Caenorhabditis elegans: one gene and its partners. The protein of the gene in region 3 interacts with the protein of the main gene of each other region in a pairwise test. Each region holds a gene or a part of one and is shown on either strand. Other genes may lie near its edges.

Region 1 (6,445 bases), on a different chromosome or scaffold from region 3:
GCGTGACCAGCATAATTTCATCGTAACAGTTGTCGTCATCCAGTGGAATAAAAGGGACATCTGGGACGGGGATATTCGGGATTCTCGGGAGACCTCCTGTGCTGGAGGATGTTGAGCTGCTCCGGAAACTGACCGGCAGGGTGTCAAATTGATTGGTAACTGGGGGTGGAGGTGGTGGGGTCTTCAGACGAGCCCTGGGCAGCGTGGCAGACATAGACCTCGGCGCGGGAGTAGGCTTCAGGTAGGAAGGAATCCTCTTGATCCTCTCCTTAGACGGAGGTACAGATGGTAGAGGTGGTGGTGGAGATACAGCGGAAAGATCTTCTGACGAAGAAATTGGAATTGTTAAGGACACTCGACACCGCTCCTCGTACACTGGGTGACCATCTTTTTTGGAATGGAAAGATGGAGAAGGGGAACTTTCAACAATCATGCTTGTTGTTTGAAGACTGAAATAGAAAGGGATTCTTATTTACATTTCTGATTCGTGAATCATAGAGAACCTTGAAACATTCGAAAAATGAGTCACTGTGGGTGGAATTGAAAAAAAAAGTTTTTTTTAGAAATTAGTTTTTTGTTTGAAATTTTTAATGGTTTTTCGAAGTGGTTTCATTGAAATTTTGCTTTATTTATAAAGAACTATTTAAAAATTTGTCTGTTTTGTATTTTTATAAAATTGTATTCTATTGAAGTAAAAAAAGTAACTTTTCAAAACTTTAATCAAGATTTTGAAAGCCGGAAGGTTTTGGAAACTGAAATGTTTTGAAGAGAAATTGAATTGAAATTTTTAAATTTGAATTTTTTGAAATTTTATTTGAAGATATTGTTGTAAAAGATTATTGTTGTAAAATTTATAAAGCTTCAAAATTGCCAAAAGTTCAATTTTTGTATAGTATTTCAAACTAAATTATTTAAAATAAAGTTTTAGACTGAAAATTTTCAGAACAACTTTAAAACTTTGATTAAAAACATTATTTTTTAAAATTACCCCTACAGTACCCCACATCACTCCTACAGCATTCCACAATACCCTACAGTAACCTTACTGTACCCCTACAGTACTACTACAGTACCCCTACAGAATACCTACAGTATTCCTATAGTACCCACGATGTAATCTTACATTAATCTACAGTATCCCACAATACCCTACAGTAGCCCTACTGTACCCCCACAGTTCTTCTACAGTAATCCACAATACCCCTCAAGTTGTCATACAGTACTCCTACAGTACCCCTCATTTCACCTACCGTAATCTAGGTGCAGGTAGCGGTGTTATCACAATTGGAGCACCCGATGCTCCGGCACCCGTCGGTGAAAAGTCGCCAGTGGATTTGCTCTTCCGAAATTCAGAAGATGTGACCAGGACGGCGAGCTCCGAGTTGCTCCGCGTTCGTCGTTTCAACGAACTTTTCCGTCGCGGTATGGCGCTTCCACGTAGCACTCGTGATGTGCACGGCCTGAAAAACAAGCAAATTAAGAGCAAAACTGAAGAGGAAAATTACTTACTCGTGAAGGTTTTCCACTACCCGGAACTTGCCGATTCGTTTGGAGATCACCGGTTTGTGGTGCTCAATTCGGCTTGTGCTGGTTTCGAATCTGGAAATCGGAAATAGCTTTTGGAAGATCAATTTTAAAATTGCAAATTCAACAAGTCGCCGACTAATCAGCGTATTCTAATAGGCGTGGCTAACGTCGCTGATTGGTTGGCGCAATTTTTTTTAAATTTTACATTCTATAATACTACAAAAAACGAAACGTTTCGGCAAACTCAAAAATTGTTTAACAATCTCTCCAAATGACCATATCGTAAAAAGGAGTGGTCAGTGATGAGGCGTGGTGGGAATATTTGATAACAATAATAATAAAATGATGGTGATAAGGCAGGGGGAGCGGGGAGACATACACATTTTGGAAATTCTTCAGAGATGTACTAATGAAGAGAGGGATGCGGTAGGTAGGTTCCTAGGCAGGCAGGCGCTAAAGCTAGGAGATGGTAAATTCCAAATAATATACATCCTAAAGTTGAAGTTTGGGTGAAAGTTGGAGAAAGTTTCCAAAAGATTCTGAACATTTTTAATGCTTTTTTAAGCTTTCAAAGTTGAGCTGATATTAGAGTAAAACTTCATAAAAAGTTGCCAAACTTCTCCGAACCATCTCTAAAACTCCAACAATTTTCCCACGAAGAAGCTTCTGGAAGAAATGACGACGCCCTCGGTCTCTCTTTACTTCTTCAACCGTTTTTCTTCCTGTCCGGTTTCAATATATTATGTCAATCAACCGAAGGGTAATGTGCTGCTATTGTTGGCTGGAGAACAACTGTGTTGGAGTGAGTGTGTGAAGGAGGAGGAAAAGTAGTATTTGTTTGACAATCATACAGAAATTGAATTGCAGACATATAAACAAAAAACTTTTTTTTTAAACGAAGAAGCATAGGACAAGAGAAAAGTTAATTTTCTAGCTGGTTATTCTATTGGTATGAAAATTTTGTGTTCTACACTTTGGCAGCTTATGTATATTCCGGTGAAATTCAAAAATATCCAAAATTGGTCAATTGCAAAACTATTGGAAAATTTAAAACCAAGATTTTCTCAGTTAAGAACTTTTTGATAAAAAACTATGACAACTTAGATATGAGCTGCCAAAATTAAACTTAAATAAATATTTTTTGAAAAAATGGATAGAATCTATGTGTCAACAAGCAGGCGGGGACAGTTTTTCAAAAATAAATGTTTGGTAAAAGTTTGGCTGAAAATAAGCAACGATGACACGTACAAAGTGGGAAAAAGCTACAGTACTCCTACAGTACCCCTACAGTTATCCTAGAGTACTCATACAGTACCCATACAGTTATCCTCCTACAATACCTATACAGTACTCCAATTTGTTCCTCTACAGTACCCTAAACTGGTACTACAGATGTTATTACAGTAAAAGCCTCATTTTGTCCCTTCAGTACCTATGCAGTACTCCTAAAATAGTCGAACAGGTTCCTACAACACTTCTGCAGTACTCCTACAGTTCCTCTACAGTGCCCTTACCGGCACTACATCTGTGAAAGCCTCCCACTGCCCCTACAGTACTCCTACAGTACCTACAGTACCCCTGAAGTAGTCCACCCTACAGTATTTCTACAATACCTCTATATCACTCCTACAGTACCCTACAGTATTCCTACCGTACTCCTACAGTACCCCCACAGTGTCCCTACTATACCCTACTACCCTGCAGTACTGTACCCCAAAAACCTTATAGTACCACTTCTACAGTAACCTTAAAATATCTCTACACTCTACAAAATCCTATAAAAAATGCTGTCTTACCTCTTGGCAAGTTCCTTAACACTGGGCAATCGCATTTTCGTCGTCGTCGTCGTTGTCGCGATCTTCTGGGCTTCTGATGTCGTCGTTGATGGTGCATTGGACATTAGATTTTGGCTCAGATTACCCCCAGACACTGTAAATTTCATATATTTATTTGATTATGTTTTATTAATCTAAAAATAGAGTTTTTTTTTCAAAAAAAGCGAGAAAAAGAGGAAAAGAAAACAGAGGAGATGCATGCAACAACTCTCGATGGGTTAATCGCTTGATTCAACATTTGAATGTGTGAGTGGAGCCCCCCGAGAGAGCAAGTGGGAAAAAGAGCACAATAATATTGATGATGATTGGGGCGAATGTTTATACTGCGCACCACATACACACTTCCCCAAAAAATCGCGGAAAAAATTTTCATGATGAAAAAAACATCTTCCTTTTCAAGAGCTTTTGGGAATGATAAGCCGAGGAGGGGTTGCCTACATTGTGTCTGCCTAGGGCCTACCTAATGCCTACCTAGTGCCTGCCTAGTGTCTGCCTAGCACCTGCCTAGTGCCTATTTGGCACTTCCTATCTACGACCTACAGAGTGCTTTCCTAGTGCCAGCCTAATGTCTGCCTAGAACCTACCTTCTGCCTGCCTAGTGTCTGCCTAGTGCATGCCTAGTGCCTGCCGAGCGCCATTACAATTAGAAGCAAACTATAAAAATATTTCTTAAAAGCTTATTCAGAAAGAACAGAACTAGTCTGTCGACCTAGCCGTCTCGGCTACTTTGCTTCAGCTATGTAATGGCTACTTCCAGACCAGCACTTAATACAGACCCCCTTTTCAACATTTTTCCAATTTGCCAAAGAAATGTGTGAAGTACTTAAAAGAATAAAAAAAGTTAGTACAATAGACTCTAACAACAAAGAAACCTTGAAAAATGGGGGTCAATTACATTTCTTTTTCTGAAGTGAGGTTAAATGGTAAGTGAAATTTTTATACAAAGCTTCTCCTAGTAAATATGCATTTTGCAAAATCTTCAAAAGTGCTGCACAATGAGCAGAACACACGACAGGAAGCGCCTTTTCTCCTGCGAGACCATGGTCAGTGGTGGTCAATGCGCGAGAATCGGGAGACGAGGAGACGCAGATGGATAAGGAAAATGTGTGAAAAACATACGGGAGGCAAGGATTGCAATTTGCATTTACTGACCGCGAGCACAATGTTGATGGGTGAGTGACATTCGAGAGGACTACGAAATGGATATTGCAATATTGCACTTGAGTTTTTTTGTTTTTTTATGCTTCAAGAGCACCACTTCTACCTCAGAGTTCATGCTTATTAGGAGGGTTACTAGTTAGATTCAGGCTTCACAAGAAAGTCTAAAGGCTCAGGCTTAGGCTTATTCTTAGGCTCAGGACTATGCTTAGGCTCGTCTCCAGTATCTAAGTATCTAATTCCAAAATTTCAGACTTCTCTTCGACCTTCATTAAATTTCGACCAATCCTCAAGGTTAAAACGAAAAATTCTTAGGGCTTTAAGCATATCCTTCTTTTTGAATTTTTGCTAAATTTTCAGACTTTCAAAACTTTCAAAAAAGTATAAATCGCATAAAAAGCTAACCCTTGAATTTTACGTATTTACAAAGCGCAGAATGGCATCTACGCTCATAACTCATGAAATTTGATTGATGAACAGCTTGCTAGTCGAGAGTAATATTGTTCCGAGGGGAAGGGTGACACATACGGAAAAGCCATGACAAAGTGAAATTGGTTGGTATTTGAAAAAGGTCAAAACTAGAACTTTTCAGATTTTTTTAAAGTTTAGAAGTTTTAAAACTAGTTTTCTAGCTACTATTTTAAAAGGTGTTGTGCTCCCGTGACCTCCCACACAGAATCAAATATTTGAACTTTCAAACGAGCGTAACAAAAGACTATTTGCACAATCACAGATACACAACACACATTCTTGAATGATTTCGAACACTTTCCGGTTTTTGAACTTTTTTTTGAATTATTAGTTGATCAAAATAACTTTAAAAAATTCTGCTAGGTGTTCCTGGAAATTCTATAGGTACGAAAATATTGTGTAAATTTTTCTGAAAAGTTTTGAGGTTTTGACAAAAATATTCAAGCTAGCTCCGAAAGAAGACAATTTCAGATATTTGACTACTTTATCGATTTCTAGAGGGATTATACTTTTCTGGAATTTTTTTTGGAAATTAATCGGGTTTTTTAACTAAAAATTGTATCATAATTTCTTTAGACAAATGTCTAAAGAAATGTCAAATTTTTTTCTTAAAAAAACGAAAAATTCTAAAAATTTTCAAAAAGCAAATTTAGCTTAATAAGCTTGCCCACGTGGCGTCAGGATGTCCCATCTCGGTTTGATCTACAAGAATTGCGGGAATTTAGACGCTGTCTTTTCAACTGATTTTACATGGATATAAACGTGCTGACGTCACATTTTTTGGGAAAAAATTACCCGCATTTTTCGTAGATCAAATTGTAATGGGGCAACCTGACACCACGTGCTTGCACTAAATATTCTCCAAATCAAAATAAAAGTTCAAAAGAACCGAAAACTGAAACACTGTTGTTGATACTAATGAAAAGTAAACAGCCCACGCCGATTGTGTAAAAGAGAGGTTTCGAGTGAGAGGGGGGATTGGTCTTTCTGCATAACCCTCAAGGGATTTATAGTAGAAGAGACGAGAGATTTAGAGAGTGAAAGGAAATGTAGTAGTACGACATGCAAATGTACAAGTTCACACTCCCTTTTCCTCGTTCTCAAAAGAATCAAATCGTTTCCGTACAGGTGCTCAGTCAGCTGGAAGACAATTCGGTGGTTATTGTATTAAAATTTGATGGTCAATTGGACTATTTGTTGCGAATCTATAATAGTTTTATTTCTATTTTCCTGTTCAATTTACAATGTCCCAGTGCCAAGTGCTCTCGTACGAAATGTGTAAAGATTTTACCGCTGCACTCTATTAAATATATCAATTGACTTTTGAGAGAGAAGCGGCTCGCTTCGGTGCCAAAGGTGACAAGATATATGGGAGGCGGGAAATTGCGAGAAATTGAACTTTTTGAAAGAAAAAAAAACGTTTTGGAGATTTTTATCGCCCATTTTAAAGCGAG
Region 2 (7,622 bases), on a different chromosome or scaffold from region 3:
CGTACTGTACATTTTATTTGCCGCGCAGATATCCCTCAACGAAAACTACAGTAATTCTTTAAATGACTACTGTAGCGCTGTGTCGATTTCCGGGTCCGATTTTCAAAAATAATTTCTTATCGTTTTTTGAGAGCGATTTTCTATTTTCCTTCGCTTTTTCGTATTATATTTGTCATTTTTATAGTTTCGTGTATCGTAATAAATTATTTTCGAAAACCGAGCACGTAAATCGACACAGTGCTACAGTAGTAATTTGAAGAATTACTGTAGTTTTCGCTAAGAGATATCTGCGCTTCAAATGAAATGCGCAGTACGGATTTCTCATGATTTAGTGTTCCCATAATACCGAATTTTGAGAGCAGTTTTCCTTCGCTTTTCGTAGATATTATTTGTGTCATTTCTATGCTTTATTTTATTATTTTATCATTAAATATATAATTTTAATTGAAAAAACGAGCAATATTGGTTTCATTTGATGATGAGTCTCCCACAAAAGCATATTTACTCATTTTTCCCCCCTCTTTTGCAGATTTTTAAGGAGAAGACCGGCATTTTTCTATTTGAAAGGCAAGAATTATCAATTTTCATTGATGATAATTGTTTTTAATTCAGGATTTCGACAACAATGGAGAGGGTGAAGACTGCTGATTGTTTTTTTTTTCGAAGTTGAATGACATCGGAAACGAAGGTACATAAACTCCCGGGAATTTAGCCTACAAGTTGCTGGAATCATAATTACAAATTTTCAAATAGAAATGAAAATTTGACTGACATGAGGCAATATTTAATACATTAATTTTTTGGCCTAGGACTAGACTATTAACGACCACGTAGCATTTGACATGTTGTGAAGATAGATAATTTTCTTGCGGTCATTTCTTATATGCAACGAGAGCATCAGCATGCCCGCGTATAAATGTTTTCAAGTACCAGATACCAAGTTTATTCAACTATTTGTCAGGCCACAAGGGCTTTTAAGATTATTCTCAAAGAGCTGAAAGTGAACATTCAAGATGGAAAAAGAAGATAAGAATCTCATAGTGACAGAGATAAGTGCGTGACGAGGGAAAGAGAAAAATGATGGGAGAGGGACGATGAAAATAAAAAAGAAAAATTGTGCATATTGGACAAGAATGCAGTTGGTTGGGGAGAAATTGGCAAATAGAAATTGAAGAGAAAGCGTGGAAACGGACTGCACGTTCAACGGCTTAGACCGGCCTAGAAAATGTTTGGAATTAGCTATTGACGAGACGCATATGATAGTGCAACTTGAGTATTATGAAATGGTTGGTTCTATGATTTTCGTGTATACTGTTTAGAGGGAGAAAAAACAACTAACAATGAATATTACTTGGCTCAAAAAAAACATCAGTTGGAGGGAAAAATGATAGAGATTTGGGGATAGGTGGGGGGAGATCATTATCATAAGAGAGCAACCAAGCTTTTTATACCTAACTCGCAATTATTTAATGATAAACTGACGATCATACTGGCGAACAATTATGAAAATATAATTAGACACCCGCAGCTATACCAAGTTAAGAATTGAATAATTGCAAGACGAATGGTTGGGATCAGATTGGGGAACAAGTAAAAATTAATTAAAAATACACACAATATCACGAATCAACAACGGGCAGCACTATGTAAACGGGTTTCAACAAAGCTTACAAACAACCGATAATAGAGAAAAACCGTGCTGAGTCCCCGACGCGGTAGTGCATCGGATGCCATCCAGCGGCCATAAGAAAAACTACAAAACTACGAGATAAAACTGCATTGATTCTCTCGGGGTATTGTTGATGCAAGAAAACAACACCAAGAGAAACAAAACAATGGTACAAATTGCCAGGCAACAACAACATTTTTGGGGGAAATGGGAGGATACAATAAAATTCAATGTTAAAACCCTAGATCACGCATAGAATCCATTAAAATATTCGTCACTTAAAGCTCTGAGATAAAAAAAATTGAATGATTAAAACACAATTACAGAGAGAATAATATGAAATAAAAGAGAGGAATAAGCCACGCTTTAAAGAAGGAGACAGAATAAAAAAGAGAAGGAGGAAAAAATGATTATTTTAATATGGATGGAACGAGTAAAGGAAAAAAGGAAGACAACTAAATTATAAAAAAAGGAGTATGGTGCGAGACTTTAATGTGGAATTCCGGATTTCCGTTTGTTGCGAATAATGTTTAAGCTTGTGGAGCTTGCCAATGATCAATTGGAGCCTGGCCTGGGTTTGAGTAAAAACCTCCACCGCCACCACCCTGACGGTTCATTCCACTGTTGAAGCCACCTGAAATCAAGGAATTGATTAATTTTGCATTATTTTCTTTATTTTCTCCACAAACCTCTTCTTGGGCCACTGAAGCCGCCACCGCCACCACTATTAGAGGTAGACGACAGAGAGCTATGAGCTCCGAATCCTCCATTCGTGAACGGGCGACGTGGTGCTCCTCCTCCGAACGAACCACCGTAGGCGGGTCCACTTCCGAAACCACCAGTGGCTCCACCGGAATTGTAATTTGAGAAGTTTCTGAAACTATTAGCAATATTAATTTTCAACTGCTCATTTGATCTTACCCTCCGAACGATCCACCACCACCACGACCAACACGATAGTCGGTTGCTCCGAAGCGACGGTTTCCACCACGTTGTCCACCTCCAATGCGTCCTTCTGCAGCAACTTGATGAAGCCATTCTGGGACTTCTTGGTTGGATTCGACAATCAGATTCTTCAAATCACGACCGATTCCTCGATTCTTGTCATTGAAGAAACTGGTGGCAATTCCAAGGTTTCCGCATCTTCCGGTTCTACCGATACGGTGAACATATTCGTCAGAATCTCCAGGAAGATCATAATTGATGACGTGGCGCACATTTGGAATATCCAATCCACGAGCGGCAACAGCAGTTGCGACAAGAATTGGGCACTGTCCAGAGCGGAACAACTCGAGATTTCTCTCACGTTCAATTTGTTTGAGATCTCCGTGAATTGAAACAGAGCGGATCTGCTGACGATTGAGGAAATACGCCAACTCGTTGGCTCCTCTCTTTGTCTCAACGAATACGAGAACCAGATTTTCAGAATGCTCGTTCATCAGAATTTCCATCAGATTGCTTCTCTTTTCCATCTCGTTGACCCAAAGCAGACGTTGTTCAATATTTTCAGACGTTGATCCAACACGACCAACTGCCAAAAAGATATAGTTATCCTTGAGGAAGTCCTTAGCGAGAACTTGAATCTCCTTCGGGAAGGTTGCACTGAACATAGCTGTGGTACGAGCAGTCTTTGGTGGCATTCCTTGGCCAACGATCTTTCTGATTTGCGGCTCAAATCCCATGTCAAGCATACGATCAGCTTCGTCGAGAACCAGGTAACGACATCCGGCGAGTCCAATGAATCCTTGCTCAATAATGTCAATCAAACGACCTGGGGTAGCAATGAGGATATGCGTTCCAGCGCGAAGACGATTCACTTGATCACGATAGTTTTCACGTCCTCCGTAAAGAATAGCCGTCTGGATGTTGCTTTTGTAGCTGAACTTTGTAGCTTCCTTGTGGATTTGAATGGCAAGTTCACGAGTCGGCGAGAGAACCAGAGCACATGGATAGTAAGTGCGACGACCGTTTGTGAACGCTGGCTGCAATTAAAATAGTTTTTTGTATAAATTTTTCGAATTTTGATGGATCGCAGGTTTGCCCTACTTACCGGCTTGACCATATCTGGACCACCAGCCAAAATATGCTGAATAATTGGGAGCAGGAAAGCGGCAGTTTTTCCAGATCCGGTTTGAGCGCAAGACATCAGATCGCGGTTAGCCAAAAGAGTTGGGATCGAGTGTTTCTGGACAGGAGTCGGCTTGGAGTATCCGCTGCGATTCACGTTCTCCATCACAGCCGGCCCAAAACCAGCTTCATTGAAATGCTCGATGGCTGCTGGAACGGAGTCTCCGCTGACTTCTACGGGAATATTTTCGTACTTGTCAAAGTTGATGCCACTGTCGGTACGGTGGAACAAATTGCTGAAATACCATATCGCGTTTAATAATCAGAACATTTTAATCTCACCTTTCGGAATATTCGGCAGGTGCTCCTCCCCATTGATTACTCTCGGCTCCACTGTAACGTCTACTAATAAAAATTGTAATTCAGATTTAAACATACTTGTTGTTGAAACCGTTTCCGCTGTCGGCGAAGTTGTTGTACCCAGACGATCTGCAATTTCAAGATTTGATAAAAGAGAAGCCTCATTTCAGGTTAACAAAAAGCAACAAAGGAAATGAAGAACAAGCATATGGTTAGAGGCAAACACAATCACCAGCACACTATACACCTGTTCTCACCCATTCTCATCGAAGTTTTCAAAGTTTTCTGAGTAGCCCATTTTGAAATGCTGCTGCTGTTGTGGCTGCCCTTGAAAGTAAGGAGAAGGAACAAATCCAGCATGAGGAGCACCCATCATCTGCCCCATCCCTGGGACCATAGGTTGTTGAATTGCATACCCGTTGTTTGACGGAGTTCCGTTGGCGAATCCGTTGTAAAATACGCCTCCTGCAGGCATATTATTGCTCTGTTGAGAATACGAGGATGACCAGCTGAAAAAATGAGGTTGAAATCTTGAAATCCGTTTCGAAATCATACCCTTGTCCCTGTTGTTGTTGTGGCGGCTGTTGTTGACCGTTGTGATTCGCATAATATTGTGTGTTCATTGTAAGACTATATCAAACGGAAACCCGGAATTCGAAAAAGAAAAATCGGCGAATCTAAACCGATTTTGTACCCAATTGACGTCGAGATTACAGAATATGTATCTGAAATTCATTTTATTGGCTTGTTGCGAAACAAATGAAGTTTTAAGACGGAGAAAATGAGTATTTATCATTAATAAACGACGAATTATCATTTTTCGCATAATTTAACTCGAAAATTATGCGAAAAACGATGACAATGGAGAAAATCGACACGAAAAACCGTAGAGAAGAAGCGGAAATGAGAGAAGTGAATTCAGCACGCAATGATGAAGAGACGTTTGTTTTCCCATCGAGACCCGCCGACCGTGTAAATCGGTGCGCCTTTAAAGTGCGTGTGTGAGGAAGCGTGTTTCAACGCAAAAAACGCTCCGAAATTTCGCGAAATAGAATTAAATTTAATTTTTATTAGAATTTCTATTGAAATATATGGGATTTTATTCAATTTTTTGAATTTCCGACTCAAAATTAATAAAAAAAAGATTTCCAGGCAATGTCAGCTCACCGAGTGGCAGTGTCACTGCCAAGAATCGGCGTCACAATTGGTCACGCACCACAAAAGCTGAAAACCGGAGGAATTGAGCCAAGCCGTCGTGCTCGTCTCGAAGTGCTCCGTCGCATCGTCACCCGAACTGTCCGTGAGGAACGCGCCGAGCTGAAATGGAACCGCGCCGTCGAGGCCAGGCCATATTTGGAGAGGGTGAGGGGTTTTTTGTTTGAAAATGAGTGAGAAAATTAAAATTTAAAAAAATAAAATTCAGCTAATTCAATTGGGTGTCGAAAGAGGACCACTTGACGAGTATACAGCCGAAATGATGGAATGGTGGCTGCCTGAGAAGGATTTAATTACGAAAATGCATGAAGTAAATTGATTTAAAAAGATTTTTCGCCAAAAAAAAATCATTTTTTTCCCAGGTAATTGTTCCACGATTCCAAGACCGCGATTCTCCATTCACATCACTATTCCGACTTCCACCACAACGTCTTCAACAATTTATCCAGAATAAGCGAGAAGTCTGGAAGCGATACGATATCGGAGTTCTGGAAATCGACGGAAATCCATTTCCACAAATACAAGCAGACCGCGTAGATCAATCTGAATCAATTCTTGATGTTCTTCTAGCTGACGCCCTTCGGAATCACCAGAAGAATCTTCAGGAAAAGCTGGATACTCCGAAGAAATCTCAATGAATTTTTATTATTTTTTTTGTTTTTGTTTCGCTAGAATCCTAGAATTTTTGTTTCTTTATATATTAAACTTTGAATCATTTTCAATATTTATAACGAATTTTGTGGTTCGATTCAATTATTTATATCTTTATCTAATTTTTTTCCCACTTTTTCACCGAAAAAATTAAAATTCAGAATAATGTTCGAAGAGCAACCGGAGGTAATAGAGGCGATCGAGAATAATCGCTTCGAAATTGTCATCAAAAATGTTCGAATCGATTCGGTCACCGAAGCGGCCAATCTTTCCCAGAAACGGGTTTTCGAGAGTGTAAGGGAATTTTAATTTTTGGAAAATCCGTGAATTTCCGCAAAAAAACGATTTTTTTCTCGGAATTTCAAACAAATTTTTTTTTTGTAAATTTTATAATACTAAATTCCCATCAAAACCCAAAATTTATTTTCAGATGTCCCAATTGAATCTCCTTTCTCTCACTGGATGCTCTCTTCACAATCTTTCGTCTTCGATTAGATCTTGCAGTAATCTAATGCATTTGGTTTTGCCGAAAAATGATTTAAAACAGCTTCCAGACGTTTTTGGTGTGTATTTTGTGGATTTTTTTTTGTTTTTTTAGACGGAAATTAGTCGAAATATACCAAATATAACTGTTAAATAGCATATCTTTTCAATTTCGCAACAAAAAATTTGAATTATTTTGAATGACATGATTTCGAAATTAAATGTTTAATTCCGGCAAATTGCCGGTTTGCCGGAAAAAAATAAAATTTTAAATTCTTGCGAATTGCCGATTTGCCGGAAATTTTCTATTTTTTCAAGTATGCCGATTTGCCGGAAAAAATTAAACTTTGAATTCATGCAAATTGCCGATTTGCCGGAAATTTTCAATTTTAATTTCGCGCAAGTTGCCGGTTTGCCGGAAAATTTTTTAAAATTCCGGCAAATTGCCGGTTTGCCGGAAGTTCTTAAAGGGATTTTTTAAAAGATAGTGTGCCTACAATTTAATTTTAGGCAAATTAGGCAAACTGCCAACTTGCCGGTTGCCGATTTGCCAAAACAAATATAACTATGAAAATTTCCAGATTGCTTGCCAAAACTAAAATTCATGGATCTTTCACACAATCATCTGGATGCTCTTCCTGCTTCAATTTCAAAATGTGAAAATCTTGAATCTCTAATTCTCAACAACAACCGCCTCAATGAATCGAGTTTCCCGGATATATCAAATCTCTCGAATCTTCATATTTTCGACGCCGCTCACAACACAATTTCCAAGATTCCTGCGTCTCTCACTTCTCACAATCTTTCTGCAAAACTCCATACGATAATACTCTCTCATAATTCAATTGAAGTGATACCGGATAGTTTGAGCAATTTGAAGCAATTGAAAGAGCTTAAAATTGATGAGAATAAGCTGAAAGATGTTCCGAGTGTGATTGCACACCTTCCCAAGTTGAAGGTTTTGGATATTTCGAAGAATTGCTTCTCGGAGAGCAGATTTCAGAAGCTTGCCAATGATAAGCGTGGGAAGCTTAATGCAGTGATTGCTCTGGCTCAAAAAATTGGAAAACCAATTGGAAATTCTGAAGAGCAGAAGAAAGCTCCTGAATCCGGTTCCCCCGATTTTCCAGTTCCAGACGCCCCACTCACAGTCCGTACTGGAATTGAGAATTTGACA
Region 3 (6,407 bases):
GTCCGCGCCAACGTTGCATTTCAATCGCAAAATGGTTCGAGGCATCATGTAAATCTTGGAGGGCCCAGACACTTGATCCGATCGGCGGGCGGTGCCTGTTGGCGTCTTCAGAAGAGACTCTCTCTCTCCGGCTGCTGCTGCTGTCGTTTAATATACAGAGAGAAGATGCTTCAAGATGAGAGAAAGAGAGATGTAGAAGTGTAAAGCTGAAGAAAGAGAGCTTCGGCCAACCGGAGCATCACCCCGTCGAGACTTTTCCTCTGCTTCTTCTGGTTTCGGGTTGACGCAATTTTTTCGGTTTTATATTTTTAAAGTTTTGTTTTCTAGTTTTGAATGGATTTTTAAGGAACAATTTTTCATTGTATTTGATTACATATTTTGTTCAGGCATTTGACATTTCCAAGTCAAGCTATCAAGTATATTCTCAATATTTTTTCATTTGGTCACTATCACTAAAAACCTTAAATTTGACAATGAGCCTAGTAATATCGTTAATTGAAGAGAATATAGGCATATGAATAGGCATCATGTATCAAAAATAATTATTCAGCTGAATTCCCTATCTTCGATCAACTATCAGTATAGGGCAACTCATGTTTTCAAAAAAGTACAAACTTTACTGAAACCTAACTCCCGCCTTCTCTTGCCACTTGCAAACCAACACAGATGACCCCTAACAACTGCGTATAGTGAGAATCCCGGTCTCGTCTCAAAGCACCTCGCAATGACCTCGCACAGTTGGCAGATATTGCTGACAGCTCGATCGATCAGTGTGGCTCTGTCTTCAATCAAAAGTTGAAGGAGGCAAAAGAGAGAATTTGTGTGTGTATGTGTGTGTGAGTGGGAGCGAATTTTGATAAAAGACGGATGAGGTTGCTTGAAAGTTGATGTGCACTCTCAAAAGTTTGATTCATGAATGATAAATAGGTGGAGCGCGATTCATTGTTTTTTCAAGAAATAAAAACTTTTGAAAATAAGTTATTACGTTGAAAAGCTTGGAATTTCAATTTCAACAGAAACCAAATATTTTTGTGATATTTTTTGCTGGCTTCAAGCTGATTTGGTTCAGATCTTTTTCCGATTCTCGAATCATTAATATCCCATTTTCTAACGAGGAAAATATAATTCAGATTTGGCGAAATCTTAGCTTGTTTTTGAAGCTGCATTTTTTTTTATTTTCTGAAATCAAATATTTCTAATGTTTAAAAAAACGTTAAGATCTGAAAAAAACAAGTTTTTACCGAATTTTTTTACGTCACTAAATGCTTTAAAAATTCAACAAAATGAAAGTTCATTGAAAACAATGTATGCAAAAATTGAAGAACTACAATTGCTGTTTGTTTTCCCTGTAACCCGTAGAAATTGCAGCGTTTTCTTTTTGAGAAAATTGCAAAACCAAGCGTTTTAAGCTCTAAAAATATAAAAGACTAGAGAAACTTCTGGACCTACCACATAAAAAATGAATGTCAATTCTCCAGAATTAGCATGTAGAGCATGTTGAAGCTCCGTGTCAATTTTACTATAAAAACAATTTATCTGAAATTGCGCGATTCTGAATTGCCGTTTCAGAAATTACTTACGAATACCATTTTTTCCCTATTAGAAATGTACCTCCAACTTCAATACTTTAACCGCATGGGTACACACTGTGTGTACTACACAGTTTTCAAAAAAAAAAACAACACAACTTCCAGAATTTCTTGAACTTTATTTTCTTTTTCAAAACATTTTCCACACTTTCCGGTCACTTGTTTCCATTTCAACTTTTTTCTTAACTTGAACAATTTGCTCGAACTTCAACTGTAGTTTCCAGCTGTCTGTCGATCAGGTCTGGTGTCCGTGTCATCTAAAGACATGGCACACACACACAGGCAACCAAACCGAACAGGCCATTCTCCAGATGTTTAGTAAAAAAATGACAAAGTGCGATTCTCTCCATTTTTATTATAAATCGTTCTTTTCCATTCTTCCTCCCCTTCTCTTTTAGTTTTGCAACACATCAAGGTTTGTGTCGTTGCTTGGGCCGGCTGTTGGACGCTCTCGGAGCGCGCCTCTGGATGATTGAAAAGACACCGTGTGTAATGTGTAATGCTCTTTCATTTTATCATTGAATTTTCTAACTTTTATCCTTATTTTACTGGAATTAATCGCCGTCTGGAATTTTTCAGAACATGAACGAAACTAATCAATTGTAGCGCAATATTTTCTTATGACATATAAAAATGCAGAAAAAAGAGAATCCGGCTGTATGTCTTCAAATTAATCATTTTTTCTATGGCTCACTAAGAATTCAAAACCGTGGTTTCATTCCTGCCAGTTAGAACTAAACTAGACTTATTTTAATCTGATGGTTGGAGATTTTGATTGTTTTTTTTTTAAATATATTTTGAAATTAAATTTCTCATTCAACTCTCCTTTTCGGTGACATCACGGTAATCACCAGAAAATTAAAATTAAAGTTTGCAGTCAAAACTTCAAAAACCTTAAAAATTGAACTACTTTTCATTTTAAGCGTATCTGACATAACATCAAGTGCAATGTTCTTAAATTTCCTCAATACTTTATTTCTTCTATGTATTTTTATTTTCTCGTTGCTTACATAATATAATTTTCAGAACGACACCAATCTTTGGGTAACGAGAAGTCGATCGCCGTGACTGGAAGATGTCACGCTTATCGCTTCTCGGCTTGACGGCAGCCGTAGTGCTACTGTCGTCGTTCTGTCAAGATAGGTGAGTTGTTTTAAAAAAATTTGAATGTGAAAAAAAAACTATATAAAACTTTAAATTCATTCGAAACTATAAAACAAACTTGGTTCGAACTTTCAGAAAAATGAATGAATAAGAAACAAATATTTTTTGAAAGTTTCAGCGGCAATTTCTAAAAAAATAAATAATCAAGAAAAGGCCCTAAAATGTGCATTACTGATCTGGCTAAAGTCCCCCTGCCCTCACCTTGCCTGAAATGATTATCTATAATTTATCCCATTGCAATTTTTAATTTCAGGATACATGTGGATGCTGCCGCCGCATGCAAGGGATGTGCTCCACCATGTGTTTGCCCAGGAACCAAAGGAGAACGTGGTAATCCAGGATTTGGTGGTGAACCAGGACATCCTGGAGCACCAGGACAAGATGGACCAGAAGGAGCACCAGGAGCTCCAGGAATGTTTGGTGAGTTTTTAAGTTTAAATTAGAAATATTTTACAAAAAAAAGACCTAAATGGTTTGCTGAAAATATCAACAAAAAAAAACACCGATTTGAAAAAATTAATTAAATAGAAACACAAAAATAAAAATAAAAACAATTTTTAATATTGAATTCATGTTACACTGGTAATCGTATATCAAAATGATAAGCTAAAAAAAATAACTAAATGCATTTTTTATAATTCTGAAGAAATGTATTTTCACTATTTATTACGGTAATACCAAAATCTTTGAAAATTCGATTGAATGCACTTTTTTCTATTGAAAACTATTTAAAGAAGACGTTTTAACCTTTTTTAAATAGTAAGTTCTTACACTGAAAAAGATCTTAAAAATATCAAAAATCTTAAAAATAAAAAATTCCATATTTCAGGAGCCGAAGGAGATTTTGGAGATATGGGATCTAAGGGAGCTCGTGGAGATCGTGGTCTTCCTGGATCGCCAGGTCATCCAGGTCTTCAAGGACTTGACGGATTACCAGGACTGAAAGGAGAAGAAGGAATTCCAGGATGCAATGGAACAGATGTAAGTGACCTTTCCAAAAGTGATATATGTAATATTATTCATTTGTCAGATGTTGTTAGTGTCTTGAGGTTTTTTTTGAGTTTTAAGCTCCTTCGAGTCCAGCGGTGAAACAGAAAACAGAAAAAGTGAGAGATAGATAGATGCAGTGCTTTTTATGTGTATAGAGCATCGGGATGTGTAATGACTCATCTTGCATCTTTTTCTCAAGTGTCGCGGTCCCCACACATTGACTAATTGCACTATAATTATTGACCAGAGGAAACTGAAAAAAACTGAAGATAGTGATTTTTATAAACATTTTCTGGAAAAAAAATCCTCCTAAAAATTAATTGGAATAATCAATTTTACAACAAAAATAGTTATAATTTTCAATAACTGGAAGCAAAATAAAAACAAAACTTTCAGGGTTTCCCTGGAATGCCCGGACTTGCTGGACCTCCAGGGCAATCTGGACAAAACGGAAACCCTGGACGACCAGGACTCTCCGGACCACCAGGAGAAGGAGGTGTCAATTCACAAGGACGCAAAGGAGTTAAAGGAGAATCTGGAAGATCAGGAGTTCCAGGTCTTCCAGGAAACTCTGGTTATCCTGGATTGAAAGGAGCAAAGGGAGATCCAGGACCGTACGGTCTTCCCGGATTCCCCGGAGTTTCTGGATTGAAGGGAAGAATGGGAGTGAGAACTTCTGGTGTTAAGGGAGAGAAGGGTTTGCCTGGACCACCAGGACCACCAGGACAACCGGGATCTTATCCATGGGCTTCAAAGCCAATTGAGATGGAAGTCTTGCAAGGACCTGTCGGACCAGCTGGTTGGTTTTTTTTAATTTTAAATAATTAAAAACTATATAAGAAGTTTACCATTTCAGGAGTGAAAGGAGAAAAGGGACGTGATGGACCAGTAGGACCACCAGGAATGCTCGGACTTGACGGACCACCAGGATATCCTGGATTAAAGGGACAGAAGGGAGATTTGGGAGATGCTGGACAACGTGTAAGTATTTGCCCTAATAAAAAACTTAAGTTTTTATTTTGCAGGGTAAACGTGGAAAGGACGGAGTTCCAGGAAATTATGGAGAAAAGGGATCCCAAGGAGAACAAGGACTTGGAGGAACTCCAGGATACCCAGGAACTAAGGGAGGGGCTGGAGAACCAGGATACCCAGGAAGACCAGGTTTCGAAGGAGACTGTGGACCGGAAGGACCACTTGGAGAAGGAACTGGTGAGGCTGGACCACATGGAGCTCAAGGATTCGACGGAGTTCAAGGAGGCAAAGGATTGCCAGGACATGATGGTCTCCCAGGACCAGTAGGTCCAAGAGGTCCAGTTGGAGCTCCAGGAGCCCCAGGACAGCCCGGTATCGATGGAATGCCAGGATACACCGAAAAAGGAGATAGAGGAGAGGACGGTTACCCAGGATTCGCTGGCGAACCAGGACTCCCAGGAGAACCAGGAGATTGTGGTTATCCAGGAGAGGATGGTCTTCCAGGATACGATATTCAAGGACCACCTGGACTTGACGGACAATCCGGAAGAGATGGATTCCCTGGTATTCCAGGAGACATCGGAGATCCAGGTTATTCTGGAGAAAAGGGATTCCCAGGAACTGGAGTTAACAAAGTTGGACCACCAGGAATGACCGGTTTGCCAGGAGAGCCAGGAATGCCAGGACGTATTGGAGTTGACGGTTATCCAGGACCACCAGGAAACAATGGAGAAAGAGGAGAAGACTGTGGATATTGTCCAGATGGTGTTCCAGGAAATGCTGGAGATCCAGGATTCCCCGGAATGAATGGATATCCAGGACCACCAGGACCTAATGGTGATCATGGAGACTGCGGAATGCCAGGAGCTCCAGGAAAGCCAGGATCCGCTGGATCAGATGGACTTTCAGTAAGTTTGCAGTCGTTAGTAAAGTTGCTGATTAAACACAAATTCGGTTTTTACAGGGATCACCAGGACTTCCAGGAATTCCAGGCTACCCAGGAATGAAGGGAGAAGCCGGAGAGATCGTTGGACCAATGGAAAACCCAGCTGGAATTCCAGGTCTTAAGGGAGATCATGGTCTTCCAGGACTACCAGGACGACCAGGAAGTGACGGACTCCCTGGTTACCCAGGAGGACCAGGACAAAATGGATTCCCAGGACTCCAAGGTGAACCAGGTCTTGCTGGAATTGATGGGAAGAGAGGACGTCAAGGATCTGTGAGTTATATATTTCAAGGATAATTTAAGCTTCTAATTAAGCTCATGATTTTTTAAACATTAAAAAACATTATAAACTATTTCAATTTTCAGCTCGGAATCCCAGGACTTCAAGGACCACCTGGAGACTCTTTCCCAGGACAGCCAGGAACACCTGGTTACAAGGGAGAACGAGGTGCTGATGGTCTTCCAGGACTTCCAGGAGCTCAAGGACCACGGGGAATTCCAGCACCATTGAGAATTGTCAATCAAGTTGCTGGACAACCAGGTGTTGACGGCATGCCAGGTCTTCCAGGAGATAGAGGAGCTGATGGTCTTCCAGGACTCCCAGGACCGGTAAGTGTTTTATTTTTGATTATTTCTATTTCTGAAATAAATTTTAAATTTCAGGTTGGACCAGACGGATACCCAGGAACACCAGGAGAGCGCGGTATGGATGGTCTTCCAGGATTCCCAGGACTCCATGGAGAGCC

Evidence for each region. Proteins that work in one complex are often made in the same cells at the same time.
Region 1: the proteins of emb-9 (region 3) and ephx-1 interact in a two-hybrid assay, tested with the Caenorhabditis elegans proteins (one large-scale study listed by BioGRID).
Region 2: the proteins of emb-9 (region 3) and vbh-1 interact in a two-hybrid assay, tested with the Caenorhabditis elegans proteins (one large-scale study listed by BioGRID).

The regions. Positions count from the first base shown.
Region 1 is NC_003280.10:4,001,896-4,008,340, reverse strand, and holds the start of ephx-1 (SH2 domain-containing protein), read right to left. Parts: upstream 3,428-6,445; coding exon 3,324-3,427; intron 1,600-3,323; coding exon 1,510-1,599; intron 1,461-1,509; coding exon 1,251-1,460; intron 450-1,250; coding exon 1-449.
Region 2 is NC_003279.8:3,157,565-3,165,186, forward strand, and holds vbh-1 (RNA helicase), read right to left. Parts: upstream 4,828-7,622; 5' UTR 4,720-4,827; coding exon of another isoform or gene 4,652-4,719; intron 4,606-4,651; coding exon of another isoform or gene 4,572-4,605; coding exon 4,354-4,571; intron 4,226-4,353; coding exon 4,175-4,225; intron 4,139-4,174; coding exon of another isoform or gene 4,130-4,138; coding exon 4,079-4,129; intron 4,033-4,078; coding exon 3,720-4,032; intron 3,652-3,719; coding exon 2,591-3,651; intron 2,544-2,590; coding exon 2,359-2,543; intron 2,304-2,358; coding exon 2,200-2,303; 3' UTR 928-2,199; downstream 1-927. Other genes in the region: mrpl-17 (Large ribosomal subunit protein bL17m), read left to right, coding at 5,252-5,458, 5,520-5,621, 5,674-5,949; Y54E10A.6 (B3/B4 tRNA-binding domain-containing protein), read left to right, coding at 6,128-6,256, 6,393-6,525, 7,027-7,622.
Region 3 is NC_003281.10:9,340,656-9,347,062, reverse strand, and holds the start of emb-9 (Collagen alpha-1(IV) chain), read left to right. Parts: upstream 1-2,615; 5' UTR 2,616-2,664; coding exon 2,665-2,732; intron 2,733-3,006; coding exon 3,007-3,173; intron 3,174-3,582; coding exon 3,583-3,734; intron 3,735-4,139; coding exon 4,140-4,542; intron 4,543-4,599; coding exon 4,600-4,724; intron 4,725-4,768; coding exon 4,769-5,623; intron 5,624-5,679; coding exon 5,680-5,934; intron 5,935-6,027; coding exon 6,028-6,270; intron 6,271-6,324; coding exon 6,325-6,407. UniProt on the Caenorhabditis elegans protein: Collagen type IV is specific for basement membranes. Required to restrict presynaptic growth at the neuromuscular junctions (NMJ) in late larval stage and in adult motor neurons.